3 linked regions of the Cricetulus griseus genome follow. The protein of the gene in region 2 interacts with the protein of the main gene of each other region in a pairwise test. Links are inferred from orthologs where the notes say so. Each region holds a gene or a part of one and is shown on either strand. Other genes may lie near its edges.

Region 1 (5,246 bases), on a different chromosome or scaffold from region 2:
AATCACCAAGTTCTTCTGGCAGAGCCTCCAGCCGGTTACCCTTAAGCTCCAGACGACTGAGGGTCCGGAGGGCAGCCACATGGGGTGAAAGCTGAGTTAGGTGGTTGTATCCCAAGAGCAATGTCCGCAGCTTCTGGCAGAAGAACAATTCGTCGGGCAGGCTCTCTAGTGCATTGTAGGAGAGAGCTAGATGCTGGAGGCTCTGGAGAAGGCCCAACTCAGGTGGCAGGGATCGAAGCCCATTGTGGGACACATCCAGCAGGCGGAGGCCAAAGCACTGGCCAAGCTGCGGGGGAAGAGTCTCGAGCTTGTTGTGACTGAGGTAGAGCTGCTCCAGGCCTCGGAGCTTCCTCACGTGCTCAGGGACATAGGCTATCTGGTTGTGCCACAGCCTGAGAGTGACAAGCTTCCGACAGTGCTGAAAGCTGAGGATTTCCTCAATAGACCTAAGGTGGTTGTCCTTGAGGTCCAGTTCCTGCAGAGCCCCTAGACTAAAGATTGCATGGGGGATACGCTCCAGCCCACAGGCTACCAGTTCCAGTTCCCGTAGCACCGCCAGCTTTTTGAGGCTGTTGAGGGCAAGCAAGCGAGCCCCATCATTGTGCAGGCTGAGTCGCTGAAGGTGTCCAGCCACATCAGTCACACTGGCTGGCACTTTCCCTGCATTGCTACGCAGAGACAGTACCTTGAGTTGCTTAAGCTCCCGGAGGCTCTCAAGGGTGGCAGCCCGAGCCATCTCTGGGGGAAAGAGTCCTTCCAGATGCAGTTCCTCCAAGCCTCGAAGCCCAAACACCCAGAGGGGCACCTCTCGGAGCTCCTCAAATTTGACACAGATCACCTTCAGGCGATCCCGCAGGAAGATCTGTGACGAGAAGGGCAGCCTGGCTGGGGAGTGAAGCAAGCTGATCTCCTGAAGGTTCACAAGCTGGGAGAGCCCTGGGGGGAAGGAGATGTCACAGATGGCCTCGAGTCTGAGTGCTTCCACTTCACTGAGCTCAAAGACAGTGTCAGGCAGTCCAGGGAGCATGCAAAGGGCCAGCTCCAGCCGGCCACGTGCGTTGCGCTGCAGCTTCTGCCTCAGCTTCTCAGGTGTCCACTCATGGTTGAGGTTGAGTTGCTTCAGGCGGCTTTCACTGACTTCAGAAAGGAAGACTGCAAACCGTTTAGAGTAGAGGGAGTCGTACTGGTCAATGAGGTGGAGCATGAAGGCGAAGTCATTCTTAACATCCGGGATGTCATTCATGCCCGTCTCCTCACGCACAGAACGGAAGGAGTATTCTTTGAGGGGCCTATGGAAGAGCCAGTAGAGTGTATACAGGCAGGTGATGCCATAGACACACACAAAGGAGATGTAGCAGAAGGCCAGCTTAGAGAAGAGGTGGGCCTTGGTGTGGTTGCAGCAGAAACTGGCGTACCCTGTGACCTCCGAGGTCTCTACTCTGCAGGCCACCAGGAAGCTGATCTTCTCCACATAGACCAGGTTGTAAACCAGGATGGCAAAAAACTTACACACTTTGAGCACCGTCTGCCGGATGTACATAGAGTAGAGGATGTCACCCTCTTCCACGTGCACACGGAACTTCTTGACTTTCTCAAACAGGGCCTTAGCTTGTTCGCCCTCCTTCTTGTCCAGCAGGGTGACGACTGGAGGCTCAGTCACCACCTTTTCTGGCTCTACCAGCACTTTCTCCTTTTCACCTTCACCTGCCTTTCCTGAGCCTGCCCCTGTTGCGGATACTGTGGTCACCACGGCCCGTCCAGCAGCTGGGCCCTTGTGGTTCTCTCCAGACACCTCAGACAAGGCCCGAGTGGTCCATGGGGAATCAAAACACTTGCCCAAGATGGAGATGAAGTGTTCAATCTTGGAGCTGGTGCCAGGGAATTTGAACCAAAAGCTGGTACAGACCATGAAGATGAGAGTATGAATGACCACCAGGTAGGGGAAGTACTTGGCATACCAGTGGAGGGCTGTCTCATAGCAGAGCTGGTTAATAAAGCTATACTGTTGGAGATCTAGGTTGTTTTTAAGGCCACTCAGCTCTCGGAGGCCCCCCATCTGCTCAGAGACCCCCTGAGGCAAGAGCTGCTGGCAAGGAGCCTCTGATAAGTTCTCTCGGGGTTCATGGCTGGGCAGGCAGATGATCTTGTCCTGTGTCACCTGGGGAAAGGAAGAGAGTGAGAGACAGTGAAGGAACTGGGGAATTGTACAGAAGAGACACAGAATGAGGTGGAGACACTGAGCCTAGACTGCGGTCAGCTGTTTGAATGTGGAAGAACTGTTAAAACTTCAGCATCAGCATCAATCTTCATCTGTAAAGAATATTGGGGGTGGGCGGGTAGCTAACGTGGTAGAGTGCCTGCCTAGCATGTACCCATTCTGATTCTCACCAATGCATAAACTGGGCTTGGTAACACATACCTATAATCCTAGCACACAGAAGATGGGAGCCAGAGAATGAGGAGTTTAAGGTCATTCTTGGCTTCATAGAAAGTTCAAGGTCAGCCTAGACACTCTGATTCTTGAAGCTGGAGCAATGACTGCTCTTCTAGAGGTCCTGAGTTCAATTCCCAGCAACCACATGGCAGCTCACAACCTTCTATAATGAGATCTGATGCCTTCTTCTGGTATGCAGGCAAACAAGCAGACATAATACTATTTACATAACAAATAAATAAAATCATTTTTTAAAAAAGACGCTCTGTCTCAAAAAAAAAAAAAAAAAAAAGGAGGGGCTGGAGAGATGGCTCAGAGGTTAAGAGCACTGCCTGTTTTTCCAGAGGTCCTGAGTTCAATTCCCAGCAACCACATGGTGGCTCACAACCATCTGTTATGAGATCTGGCCCCTCTTCTAGTGTGCAGATATACATGGAAGCAGAATGTTGTATACATAAATAAAATATTTTAAAAAAAAGATTGTGAGGGTATATGATTGTGTTGAATTGTGGTCCCACAAAAAGAAACTAAATCCCAACCCCTAGTGCCCGTGACCTCATTTGGAAGTAGGGTCTTTGCACAGGTAGTCATAGTAAGGCTATGATGAGTCCCATGAGACTGTATCCTTGCAGAAGTAACATAGGGCAGAAATGGACCTCACCTGGTAGACTGCTCACCCAGCATGGTGAAGCCCTGGAGTCCCATCCCAACACTGCATAAACTGAGTGTTGTGTGCACATGTGAAATACTAGTACTTGGGAAGTGGGTGCAAGAGGATCACAGTTCATCAATTTTTTTTAAGCTCTGAAACCAGACATGGTGGTGCACACCCTTTAATCCCAGCACTCAGGAGGCCAGCCTGGTCTAGACAGTGAGTTCTAGGACACCCAGGAATACACAGAAAAACCCTGTCTCAAGAAACCAAATAAATAAAATTTTTAAAAAAGTTTAAGGTTCTATCAATAACAAAATTCCATCTATAAGACAAAGAAGTTGGGCCTGGTGATGCTAGCCTATAGTCCTAGCTACTTGGGAACTGAGGCCTGGGCTTCAGAGTGGGTGCAACTTCTAGACAACTTCAATAGACACTAGACAAAGGGTGTGAGTAGGTAGGATTCAGCTCAGTGGTAGAGTTCTGGTCTATAGAATGCCCCGCCCCATGAGGGGCTTTGACTTTGCCTCTGCAGTAGAGCCCTTGTGTAGCACTAGAAGCCTTTAGTTCTATCCCCATTGCCACAAGAAAGATAAAAGTGTGTGTGGGGGGAAACACCCTAATATTACTGTAGACTATAATGCCATTGCCCTTGGAGATGGAGGAGAGGAAGGTAGGGGTCAGAATAGGTCTGTGTGGGCTTTGGCACTGGCTCCCTCTTATTTGTCTCTTATTTTTTTTTTTTTTGAGTTTCTTTTATTGTGATTTTATTGTCTCCATACCAAGAGCAGCTTAGAACTGGATCACCTGGCCCTTTCTCTTCTTATCGCCTCCCAGTTCAAAATGCTTGCATCTCTTAATAGCCAGCATCCTCTTAGATCTGCAGTTGGGCTCAACACACTCAAGCCTCAGCACAATCTTCTTTGTAGTTTTAGCCTTTTTTCGGAAAATAGGCTTAGTCTGCCCACCATAGCCACTCTGTTTCCTGTCATAACACCGCTTTCCCTGGGCATACAAAGAATCCTTGCCCTTCTTATACTGTGTCACTTTATGGGGCTGGTGCTTGCCACATTTCTTGCAGAACGTCCGGCGGGTCTTAGGAACGTTCACCATGTTGGCGGGAGCGATATTGGCACAGAAAGTTCTCTTATTTTATTGGTGATATTTTTATTGAACCCAGGACCTCATGTAAGCTAGGCAAGTGCTCTAATACTGATATTTTTTCCTTTTCTATGTACTTATTTCATTTTAGAGATAGGGTCTCACTGTGTAGCCCAAGAGGTCCCAACTCATCCTCTGTGCTATGATTCCAGGTGTACATCACCACACCTGACTTCAAATTTATTTTGAGATAGAGTTTTGCTAAGATGTCTAGGTTGACCTCAAATGTGTGATCCTCTTGCCTCGGCCTACAGAGTCACTAGGGTTATAGGCACTTGCCAAGATTTCCAGGCTCTCTGTCTCTCTTCTTGGGTGACTTGAAGGCTTCAGGACTTCAAGTACAAGGCCTACCCCTTTAGAGAGAGCCACCTACCTGGAGGGTGCAATTGACGACACTTCCGCATCTCATCATCATGGTGGGATTGTACCCATCTGTACAGTACAGTTGAAGAACCCCCCAGATCATAAGCACTGCCATGGTAAGACCATGCCCTCTTAGAGTTCTGCCCTTCATGTGGAAAGTACAGCTCAGGATCCCAGTCAGGGGCATAGCCATAGTGAAGTCAGTTGCCTTCATGGCAGTAGGGGCTAGAGAGTGGTTAAGAACTCTTGAACCCCCCACCCCCCAAAAGCAGCCAGCAGTGGTGGTGAACACCTTTAATCCCAGCACTCAGGAGGCAGAGGCAGGTGTATCTCTATAAGTTTAAGGCCAGCCTGGTCTATAGAGCGAGTTCCAGGACAGCCAGGGCTACATAGAGAAACCCTGACTCCAAAAAAACAAACAAATAAACAAAAAACAAACAAACAAAAAAACAAAGGGGAGAAAAAAACAAAAACATCTCTCATCCATAACTCTAGTTCCAAGGAATCTAACACACTCTTCCTACCACTACATGTGGTGCACATACATACATGCAGGAAAACACTCTAACACATAAAAGATAATACATCTTTAAAAAAAAAAGACCCTCATGAGGAGCATTGTCAAGGTGTGGTGCC
Region 2 (6,016 bases):
ACTGATGACTGTTAATTCTGATTCAGTTGAATAGAAACAAGTAGAGGGTGGAGGCAGCTCAGAGGGATTAGTAAGGTATGGTGTGCCTTAATTGTTTGTTTGTTATGGAGAGCAAACCCAGCACCTTATACAGGGTAGTTTCAAACCTTGGTTGCTTGGACCCAACACTGTGGGTGAGACAGTACAACATGGGAAAGGGCACAGTGGAGCAGAGCTGGTTACCTCAGGTAGGCCAGAAAGTGAGAGCGCAGGACAGAAGGACAAGGTTCATCTTTTCAGGACACGCTCACCTCCTAATTCCAGTACCTCTCTCTCAACAATGCCATCAAATTTATGAAGCCATCAGGGGGTTAATCCCTCAATAAAGTCAAAGTGCTCACAATTCAATTACTTCCCAGAAGCCCCACCTCCAAACTCTAGGACATTGGGAACCAAGCCTTTAATACACGGGCATTTGGGGGGGGGGGACATAATATCCACATTTGTGAGAGGACACTCCAGCAGTGCTTGTCTAGGACTCTCAATTCCAGTGATCTAGCTGACCTCCCAGCCTTTGCTTGTGCTGGGTCCTGTGTGCATCCCTCCATGGCTGCCCAGGGCATCCCCATTCCTCTTGCTGTCAGGACTTACTCTTACTAGATAACCGCCTGCATGCTAAAGTCCATCTTCTGTATTTGATTATGGCATAAAGGCTCAGAGTCTGTTAAGTTTTTTATGTCTTCAGGACCTACTCAGTGCCTGAAACACACTAGATAATCAGTGAGTGTCATGGAAGGATTGAATAAGTGCACTTTCTTTAACTACAAGCCCAGCAATAAGACTAAGGACCACCCCCACTTCCTGCCTCATTTCTTCGGCATCATTTCCCAACATACCAAGTCAGACACCTTTGTGATGGCCTGTCTTAGGGAAAGGACTTTGTAAACTGATGTGAGGGGTCCTGCTTGTAGTTTTAAGAATTGATCCCAACTGCATTATAAATTTCTGAGGCAGAATATATGTCCACCTAAAACCCTGTACACAAATGTTTATCAGTAGCATTATTCATAAGAGCCCCAAGTCAAAACATCCCTGATGTCCACTAACTGTTAAGAATGGGTAATTGCAGCTGGGCAGTGGTGGTCCATGCCTTTAATCCCAGCACTCAGAAGGCAGAGGTAGGCAGATATCTGAGTTCAAGGTCAGCCAGGTCTACAGAGCGAGTTCCAGGACAGTCAGGGAGACATAGAGAAACCCTGTCTAGATAGATAGATAGATAGATAGATAGATAGATAGATAGATAGATAATGATTACAAAGTTCTATCCTCATATAATGGGATACTGTCAATAAAGGGAATATAATACTGATATATGCTATCATGGATGAACTTTTAAAATGTGCTGAAAGGAAAAGGCCGGACATATATAACAATATTTTACATGACTTCATTGCCATGAGTCTAGAGCAGAAAAATCTTTTTGTATTTGAGTCCCCTACAAGTTGAAGTCTATACAGAAAGTAGATTAGAAAGGTAGGTGGTGGCAGCTTAAAGCTACAGGGTTTGATTTGGTTTTGAGGTAGTGAAAACCTTGAACAGTTGAGTATGGCAATAGTTATCCACATCTGTGAATATGCTAGCAGATTTTGAAATAATGTCTTCTTCTTATTGTCAATAGCACTTAGGCTACTACTTAGGTAGGCGGATCTCAGTGAGTTTGAGGCCAGCTTGGTCTACAAAGAGAGTCCCAGGACAGTCAGAACTTTTACACAGAGAAACACTGTCTTGGAAAACAAAACAAAAAAGACAAAACAAAACAAACAAAAAACCATAAAAAGCAGAGAAATGTCCTCTGTATTGTTTGACTTTGTGGAACTGTGTTGCACGGACCTTTTTCTCGGAGATACATTGGGTGGGGAGCAAGAAGAGGCTGTGGAGCCGAACTGATTTTGCATTTTAAACAATCCCCCTTCTTTCAATCTACTTGCAAAATCTACATCCAAAGAAACAAATTTTAGTTTAACTGATGAAAATGCATGCTGTCACACCCACCCAAAACACTCCTCTAAATCTGAACTTTTCATCAATTCTGGAATCTATTCTTCCTGCCTTAGCACTGGCTTATATGACCAGCATAGCTTCTTTCTGATTCGTAATACCCTTCAGTGGGTACCAGTCCTGTCCACAGGGCAAGGAGACTGGTGCTCCACGCCTCCTGGGGTTAATCCTGCAGTCGGGTTTGGGGATGGAGCCTGGCGGCCTTGCACTGGAGCATGCTAGCAGCTGACTGCTGACTCAGAGGGGAAAGCCAGCCACCCGCGAATCTCTTTGCAGCTCGCTGCTGCATCCCTATCCCACAATCCCTTGCTGCAGTGTGGCTTGCTGCAGTCCTTTCAACAGACGGCTGAGAAAAAGATGTCCTGTAAGATAAAGATTGATTGGTCTGAATACGGAAGGGGGTCTCCTACTTGTTAATGACCCAGAAACATTCCTGCCGACTTTCCTGAGCCTTCTCTCATTTCCTCCATTTTTTCTCTTCCTCTGTCCTGTTCATGAGCTGGCACATCTCTACTTAGAGCAGAAGATAATGCTGGGCTTCTGATGATGGCTGCATTGCATGGTAGGGAATTTTAACCAGCCTCTTTGCATGGTGCTTCCAAACTTGAGACGGTAGCAGAAATGTGCATTGTTCTTTGGGGTGGCCGCGGAGCTGCAGCGATAGCCTGGAGGGGTTGTCTTTCTTTACCTCGCTGACTTTTCTGTTTATCGGGAGAAATGGGAACCTCAGTGTTCCAATTGCTTGCTGTTATTTCTGGCGGATAACTGCTCCTACTGCTCTAGCTTCCCTTTCATGGTGATGCTGCATGCTCTTTAATTATAAAATAGGGGAAGACCCACACTGCCTAAACAAAAGCATCAAATCAGCAAGTATGGGGAAAAAGCTATTGTGAACGGATTAGATTTTTAACCTTATTCGTCGCTATTTTAGTGTTGTCTTGGTTTGTTTCAAGTAGAATTACATTTCCTGCATCTTGATGTTTGGATGAAGTATTGAATTTACAGGGTTGCTTCCTGGCTACTCCTAGGTGGAGGATGTGCGATTCTACCCTTCCCCCACCCGGCTCTCTGCCCTGGGTTGAGCTCCTGGCCTCCGAGTTACCATTGGAAACCATTCATTCATAATGCATGACTCGACCCCCTGGATTCTAGATGCATCAAACATTTCTTTCTGACAAATTTTCCTGCTATGGGAGTACAATCAAATCTGGGTGGAGCTCAATGGAAGGACTGTTAGAGGGAGAGAAATTCCTGGGTTGGCCCTTAGTTCTGCTTCCTCGAATCATGGGTAATTTTTGTGTCAGAGTTTTTTCTGCAAGAATGCCCCACCCTGACATTAATCTTCATTGTACAGCAATAGGAAAGCCAGTAGGAAGGCTATTTGTTTCCAACTAAAAATTGAATGTTGAATAAATGAATTCTGGAGCCAAAAGAAAATATTTGTGTCTGAATAAAAAATGGGTTCAGTGTCACAGCTTCCAAGATAGAGACTCTGAATGAGGCATTTAAAAAACTTATCAGTTGTTCAGCTTATATTACAGCTGCTTTATTCCATGGGTAAATTACTAGAGGTTTTTGAACACTGCAATATAGAAAGAGCCATTTGTTTGCTCGGATCCCTAAATTGGAGTCTGCTTCTCATAGTGTGAACTGATTTTCAGAGTACTTGCCTTGTTTTTAGGCAGGTGCTTTTGCCGGCACTGTTCGGACCCACTGTAGTGTTAAATAATTCAGGCCACTGGAGGGCCAGCCGGCAAGCACACAATGAGAAGTTTCATGTATGCTGTGGCACGAGGAAGCTCCTCTGGTGCCCGGCCCTCCAACCCTCGTTAACAGCCCTTCCTGGCCCTCTAAAGAGCTCTTCTAAAAAGACAAGTGATTTGCATTGCAAAGATTGCAAGACAATGTAAAAAATCCTCTGACAGAATGGGCTGTTTGAAGATTGATGAATGCACCATATTTAACCCACACATTTTTTAAAAAGATGGGCAAGTCTGTGTACCTTCTCACCTCTGAGGATGTCACAGTCCTAAAGCTAACTTAATGTTTTAAATGTATGGGACAACAAAAGATTAGTGGGGATCACGAAAACAAAGTAAAAACACTTATTCTTTGTCTCAAGAATGAAAATACCCTTCATTTGGGTAGCTTTTGACATTGGTTTCTATAAATTCAACACTCTTATCTGCCTGCACTGAATAGAAACCCTAATTGTGAAGCCATTTTTTTAAAAAAATTACCAAATCTTAAATTTTAAGAATCTCCTTGCCTCTTTTCATTATTTCTCTGATAATACTAATGCTCTGACAAATGTTTTTATATATTAAAACACACAGGAGGGAAAGAAATGTTTTAGGTTTTGAAAAATGATGCAAATTATCTTTGTTTGTCTGCCAGAAAGGAGGTGGGGCTATGTGAACATGAGTGAGCCCCTGCCTTGTTGAGGATCCAACAACAGGGCCATGTGCTTGCCAAACAAACACTCTTAGAGCAAGGCCCCCAACTGGATCACAGTTTATTTCTTCAAAATGTTGAGTCTATTACTTCTAAATTGTAGCAGCATGATTAACTTGAGCGCATCTGCAGTGGCTTTAAAAAAAATCCGTGGCCTCCCTCTGTTACTTGACTACTGCAGGAGTGCTTCAGGTCAGAGCATAGTTTGCTACACGGCCAGTGGCTATTAGGGTTTTCTGAGTATTCCTATTGTGCAGGTTGTCTGAATTCAATGGATCAGGTTTCCCCCTGAAACTTGGAGCCTTAGATTAGAACAGAGAATAAGGGGTGTGGGGAAGCCAAGTATTCAAATGGCATCACTTGAAGGAGCCACGCATTGCTACTTTTTGTATGCCAGTCTTTCTAGCCACTTCTCTGCCTTCTTCTGCCTTCAGTTTGGATATCTTCCCTTTCTCTGCTAAGCCCTTTTTATTCTTTTTCTTGAAACTTATCAGTGAAGGAAGCACTTATTCTAACTCACAGCAGAAACAGCATGCTTCCTATGTACCAGAGGCAAGGGGAGGGTTATTATCACACGGGCTTGTGTTTGGGGGAGTTCTGAGATGAAATACTTTTCTCCCTTTTTGTCAGCCCCTCCCAGCTCCCAGAAGGGATCCCCACCCCTCAGCAACATGGCTGCTCCCTGCCTTTCTTGTGCTTTGGTAGTCTCCAGAGGGAGCCTAGAGGAGCCATGGCACAGTGATGGATGTGGGGAGAAGAGACCCCACTCATCTTGATTGTTCCAGGGCATGACAAGGTAAATGTCAATTAGCTCCTCCATTTAACGCTGCTCACACAGACAGACTGGGCCCTTTGGAACATTGAAAGCCCAAATCAAAGCTGAAGAGAGTGAGGACTTGAGGAGCTCTGCTTAGAAATCAACATCTGAATGGAAATGCCAATGCATCAAAGGAAGTTGTCACACACATCCATCCCTGGCAGTGGAAGCAGAGCTTTCGGGAACTTGGGCACACCTTTGCCTGGAGACTGAAGTTAAAGGACAGGCTCTCACCCTTCAAATGTGCACATGTGCGCACCCATACACACACACACACACACAACACACACACACACACACACACACACACACACACAGGCTTCTAATTTACAAAGTGGCTCCCCTGGGATCAGGCTTGATTTAACTGAAAGTGGGTCACCCTGTTTTCATTTCATAGGAAGACTGCCCTCTTTCTTCTAGCTGAGTCATCAGTAACAGTTCGAATTCAAGTACAGATGAATGACAATAGGCTCCTAACTTAACCCAAAGATCCTGCTGGGAGAGGGGGGTGGGTACAGTGTGCAAGCATGTGTGTATGTGTGTGTCTGTGTGTGTAGAGACCAGAGGCCAGTGCCTTCTTTGGTTCCTGTCCACCTTATTTTTTGAGACATGGGGTCACCAACTTGGCTAGCCTGGTTGGTCAGTGAGTCAGGGCTCTGCTTGTCTCTGCCCACTAGATCTGGGATTACAGACATTGCTGCCACGCCC
Region 3 (5,347 bases), on a different chromosome or scaffold from region 2:
TAGGATTAAAGAAAGTGCATTTGCAACCTCAGGCCTTGGGCTAACAGTGGGCCACATAAGGTAACACTAGAGAGGAAACAGCCATATCAGTTGGGGGTGGCGCACACCTTTAATCCCAGCACTCAGGAGGCAGAGTCCAGGCAGAGTTTGAGGCCAGCCTGGTCTACAGAGTGAGTTCCAGGACAACCAAGGCTACACAGAGAAACCCTGTCTCTTAAAAACCAACCAACCGAACAAACAGGAAATCTATTCTCTCCAAATGAAGACCCCTTTGCAGAGCCAGTTTATGCTAGTTTCTCAAGCTGTCACATGGACACAGCTGATTGTCTACTTGGCCCCTCTGAGGACACTAGTGTTGTAGAAAACACACAGAGATCCTGGACAATAGCCTAGAGCATCAGGACCTATCCCCAAGTACAGGGCACTCCCATGGCCTCCACAGTCCCGTTATTTTATATTTGGATGTGTGTGTAGAGACTACAAGAGGAACCCAGATCTCCTGGATCTGGGTTGGAGTCAAACAGGTGGTTGTGAGCCACCCAACAGAGATGCTGGGAATTAAACTTGAGTTCCCTGCCAGAAGAGCAAGTGCTCTTAGGCACTGAGTCATCCCTCTACCCTCCCCGGCTCCCTGACTCTTCCACTCACTAGGCAGAGAGGCAGATCCCCCTGGGATGGGACTGGAGTACAGTCTTTGTTATATATCTTCCTCTACCACTTTCCAGCTTACTGTTAACCTCCAAGATCAAAACTCCACTTACCCTCTCCAAACACTGGGGTTACACGCATGTGCACCACACCTGGCTTTTTACATGGGTGCTAGGGATTAAAATCCAGGTCCTCATGCTTACATAGCAAGTACTTCACCCACTAAGCTACTTCCCCAGCACCTAGAAACATGTTCTTAGAGCTTTATGATTCAACTGCAACAAGGTGAGTGCCAAGGCTGTGGCTATATCTACCTGGGAGGTATAGGTCAGACAGGTGCAGCTGCTTCATAGATGCTTAAATACACTTGAGAGTTTTACACAGTAACACTGAGCAAGGGACTCCTTCATGGCCAGCAAAATGAGTCAGAAGGTATTAAAAAAAAAAAAAAAAAGTGCTTGTTGCACAAACACGACACCTGAACTTGATCTTGGGACCACAGTGGAAGGAAAGAACCAATTCCTGGGTAGGTTTGATCTCTATATGTGCACTGTGGCACAAGGCGCATGTACGAACACACAAACCCATGCGTGTGTGTGTGTGTACACACATACATACACACACACACACACACACACACACACACACACCAGCGCTTGAATTTTTAAAAATAAAAGCATAGTGTTTAAGAAGAGAGAGAAAAGGATGGCATAAGGAAACTTCCCTGTTCTACCAGTTGTACTAGGGGGAAAAGGCCTGGTTCCAGCAATGTCATAGCCCCCAAACCTAATTTGAGCTAGGCCAGTCCAGAAAATCAAGATTCCCAATGTAAAGAAGTGGCAATGAAAGCCGGGGTTGAGGGGTGGGAGGGGCACACCTTTAATCCCAGAACTCTAAGTGGCAGAGGCAGGAGGATCTCTGAGTTTGGGGCCAGCATGGTCTACAACAGGGCAAGTTTAGGACAGCCAGGACTATACAGAGAAACCCTGTCTTGGGAAAAAAAAAAAAAAAGAAGTGGCTATGACACCTGCTCTGGGCAAAGGCAGCATGCAAACAGCCTAGAGGAATACATGTGGTGTCCTTGCTGCTGTGGAGTAACACAACTGAAAATAGGAAAAGGGTTTATTTATTAAAGCCATCTGTGAGTCACTCTGGTTAAATTAGCACACTTGACATAACACCTTGGATCAGAACATGCCTTCTTTAAAATACAGTGGGCTCCACAAGCAAACACCTTAGGGTCAATTCAAGTAGCACTTCAGGAGCCCAGCAGAGCATCTGGAGGGGATGGGGCAGCAGTCGTTCACCTTCCCAGTGCAATAGCCACTTCCTGTAAACACCTGGCAGAAGCTAGGACTGCGGCTTTCAAACCACGTGGCAGAAGTTGATAAGCAGTAAGGTCAAGAAAGGGGAGTCACTGCAGCTGTGATCCAGGCAAGATCCCGGCTGGGCCCTGTGCCCACTGCATCGGAAGCTGCTGAGGCTGCACAGCCAAGGAGCACAGTAGGCACCACCTACGTGCGATTCAATGTCTGGAAGATTCTAGAGATCTGCAGCATGACAGGGCCTGTCTCTGGGTCGTTCATCCACTGTGTGCTGTTAAGTGGGTTCTCCAGCATGTCTTCAAATGCTGTGGAAAGACAACAGAGTTGAATGGCAGCACCAAAACACCAGTGAGCACACTGAGCCCTTCTCAGTGGTCCTGAAATGAAAGGCAGCAGGGACACAAAGAGCTCACTGCTGACCCTGGCACTCACCCTTAAGAGCCAACCATAGTGCCTGACCCCTTGACCAAACACATCTGAGAATAAAAGACAGACCTCAGGGGCCATCAGCAGGGAGTAAACTATCTGTGATCACAGCACCCCCAACCTATGGCCCATCAGCAGGGTGGTCAGCTGCCCTTGCTTACACCTTTGACAAAGCCATGGACTGCCTGTGTGCTCACAGGACTCCAGCTCATAGACCATCAGTGGGGGCAGTCAACAGCCTAGTCTCACAGCACCTCAACTCTGGAAAGCCACCAGTGAGACTCAAAAGTCAGTCTGCAACCGTCCTTTCCAGACACCACAGGAAATGACCATGTGCATAACCCCTGGAAGAAATATGCTCCAGCAGATTTAACACCATCAGCTTGGAAAAACCTACATGTTCAAGCACAGTGAACCTGTCACAGAAGGCTGCAGTACAGCTCAACGGTAACCATTTGCTCAGCACACACAGGCCCTGGGTCCATCACTAGACCACAAAAATAAAAATGTAACAAAGCATTTCTTCAAAATGCAAACTTTCTTTTTTTTTCCTCCTGATTTTTCGAGACAGGCTTTTTCTGTGTAGTCCTAGCTGTCCTGGAACTCACTCTGTAGACCAGGCTGGCTTCCACCTTAGAGATCTGTTTGCCTCTGACTCCTAGAGTGCTGGGATTAAAGGTGTGCACCACCACACCCAACAAACTGATTTTTCTAGATTAGTACTGGGGAGATGGCTCAGTGGATAAAAGCACTTGCCATGCAAGCACGAGGACCTGATTTAATCGCCAGCACCCAAATAAAAAGCAGGCCATGAGAGCACATATTTGTAATCCCAGTACTAGGGAGGTGGAGACAGGAGGATCCTGGGGTTTACTGGCTAGTCAGCCTAACCTACTTACAATGTCCATGTAAATGAAGGACCTTGTCTCAGAAAACAAAATGGGAGCTGGCAATATGGTTTAGCAGGTAAAGGAATTTGACACTAAGTCTAATGACCTGAGTTCCATCCCAAGGACGCACAAGGCAGAAGGAAAAAACCAACTCCTGAAAACTGTCTTCTAACCCCCACATGCCCATGCAAACCCTCCCCCCCCACACATAAATAATGTTAACAAACACGGTGGGCAGCCGGGGAATGACACCCAAGCATCACAGGCACAGACACATGTTCATCTGCACATACAGGAATACAAACACATATGCCTAATATCCAGGGGCAATACATAAAAGAAGTGAGGCAGGGACTGGAGAGATGGCTCAGAGGTTAAGAGCACCGACTGCTTTTCCAGAGGTCCTGAGTTTAATTCCCAGCAATCACATGGTGGATCACAACCATTTATAATGGGATCTTTTGGCCTGCAGTGCAGGCATACATGCTGGTAGAACACTGTGTACATAATAAATAAGTATTTTTAAAAAGTGATGCATGCTGGCCCATGGTGGCAGAGGCAGGTGGATCTCTGTGAATTCCAGGTCAGCCTGGTCTACAAAGCTAGTATCAGGACAACTAGGGCTGTTACAACAGAAACCCTATTTCAGAAAAAAAAAAAAAAAAAAAAAAGAGGCAGACAGCCAACAGAAAGTATTCCACAATGCTAAGACACAGTTCTTAAATGGTTAAGCAATCAAGCCTTTGACAATGGAGGAAGTAGGTGTTTTCATGGTTGGTGGTGATGGTAGAAGGGAGAGCAGGCAGACAAGACAAGCAAGAGCTCAGATGCCCAGCCTCTGACTTGGTCATCTGATGCTGCTCATCCTTGGGAAATAGGAGCTGCACCAAGTATAGTGCACAGGAAAAGGTTGCTGCCACAGCAGGTCCTACAGTAGCTAGACAGAAAGCAACTTAAGTGACCAGAAACAGGGAACCATACTGTCAAAATAACACAGTGCCTCCATGTTCGTGAGAGTCACACAAACAATACTGCAGGACCACTGTCCCACTAGCACAGACATCCAAATGCCCAGAAGCCAGAAACAGTGGCACACCTAGCACATGGAAGGCTAAGGCGTGAGGGCAGTACAGGCTTAGGGCCAGCCTAAGCAGACCAGCAAGACCTGAAAAACAGCAGCACCACAATGACACACACCAAAAGGGAGTCAAGGTGACTTGTACTTACAAATTTCCTAAAATATATTTCTGCTAAAACATAAAGGCCATGGGTTTGGGGATTTCTTAATTTTTTAAGTTAATCTCTTTACCTAATGGGAGGGCAGGCCTCAGTGTGCAAGGAGGTCAGAGGGCAATTTGAAAAAGCTGGTTCTCTCCTACTCTGAGTTCCGGGGATTGGCCTCAAGTTGTCACATTTGGTGGCAAGAATCTTTATTCACTGAGCCAGCCCACGGTAGTTGTTTTAATTTTATTATTAAACATTATCAAAAATATCTAATTAGAGCTTGAAAAGGGTGTGACCCTTGCAGGGGATGGTACAAGCAGGCCATCCTGGCTGTTGTGGACCTTCACAGGAATACTGCATAGATGGCACGGGTCTGCAGTGCAGATGTGGCCGAGAGCCAAGTGCCACTGCTGCAGGCAGCTCAGTCCTGTTAGGCAGGGTGGCTGCAGCCCCGCCCTGTGAACAGACTGTGGCTGGGAGAGCAGTCTATGATCTGGGTCCTGTCTACTGGCCCATACCCAAGCAGTTGCAGACTAAGGTGCTCACTCTGGGAGGGTTATTTCAGAAAAGGAGGAAAGGGGTGGCACTAGCTACAGACACACACACATATATATATGGTGGTCTAAAAAAGAGAAGACTAAACACCCAGTTTCTTTTACCTGACCAAATGTACCTTAAAACACACTGACCTCCACACAGCAAGACCCATAGTGACATGTGACAAGAAAGCTCAGTCACAGAGTGTGTACTTAGCATGCCAGGCCCTGGATCCCCAGCACACACACAAAAAGTCCTCTGGTCAGATCCCAAGACAGTACCTATCAATTTTTTAAG

Evidence for each region.
Region 1: the proteins of Trim2 (region 2) and Lrrc8e interact in binary tests that used the Homo sapiens proteins (3 or more experiments, as listed by UniProt). The two-hybrid records come from large-scale screens. The link is inferred for Cricetulus griseus from reciprocal best matches to the Homo sapiens genes TRIM2 and LRRC8E.
Region 3: the proteins of Trim2 (region 2) and Ubac1 interact in binary tests that used the Homo sapiens proteins (3 or more experiments, as listed by UniProt). The link is inferred for Cricetulus griseus from reciprocal best matches to the Homo sapiens genes TRIM2 and UBAC1.

Annotation. Positions count from the first base shown.
Region 1 is NC_048597.1:89,041,659-89,046,904, reverse strand, and holds part of Lrrc8e (volume-regulated anion channel subunit LRRC8E), read right to left. Parts: intron 4,237-5,246; exon of another isoform or gene 4,200-4,236; coding exon of another isoform or gene 3,879-4,199; exon of another isoform or gene 3,820-3,878; intron 2,159-3,819; coding exon 1-2,158. Other genes in the region: 60S ribosomal protein L36a-like, read right to left, coding at 3,879-4,199. UniProt on the Homo sapiens protein: Non-essential component of the volume-regulated anion channel (VRAC, also named VSOAC channel), an anion channel required to maintain a constant cell volume in response to extracellular or intracellular osmotic changes.
Region 2 is NW_023276806.1:70,190,214-70,196,229, forward strand, and holds the start of Trim2 (tripartite motif-containing protein 2), read left to right. Parts: upstream 1-2,348; 5' UTR 2,349-2,401; intron 2,402-5,121; 5' UTR 5,122-5,236; coding exon 5,237-5,287; intron 5,288-6,016. UniProt on the Homo sapiens protein: UBE2D1-dependent E3 ubiquitin-protein ligase that mediates the ubiquitination of NEFL and of phosphorylated BCL2L11. Plays a neuroprotective function. May play a role in neuronal rapid ischemic tolerance.
Region 3 is NC_048599.1:137,377,642-137,382,988, forward strand, and holds the end of Ubac1 (ubiquitin-associated domain-containing protein 1), read right to left. Parts: intron 2,279-5,347; coding exon 2,163-2,278; 3' UTR 1,757-2,162; downstream 1-1,756.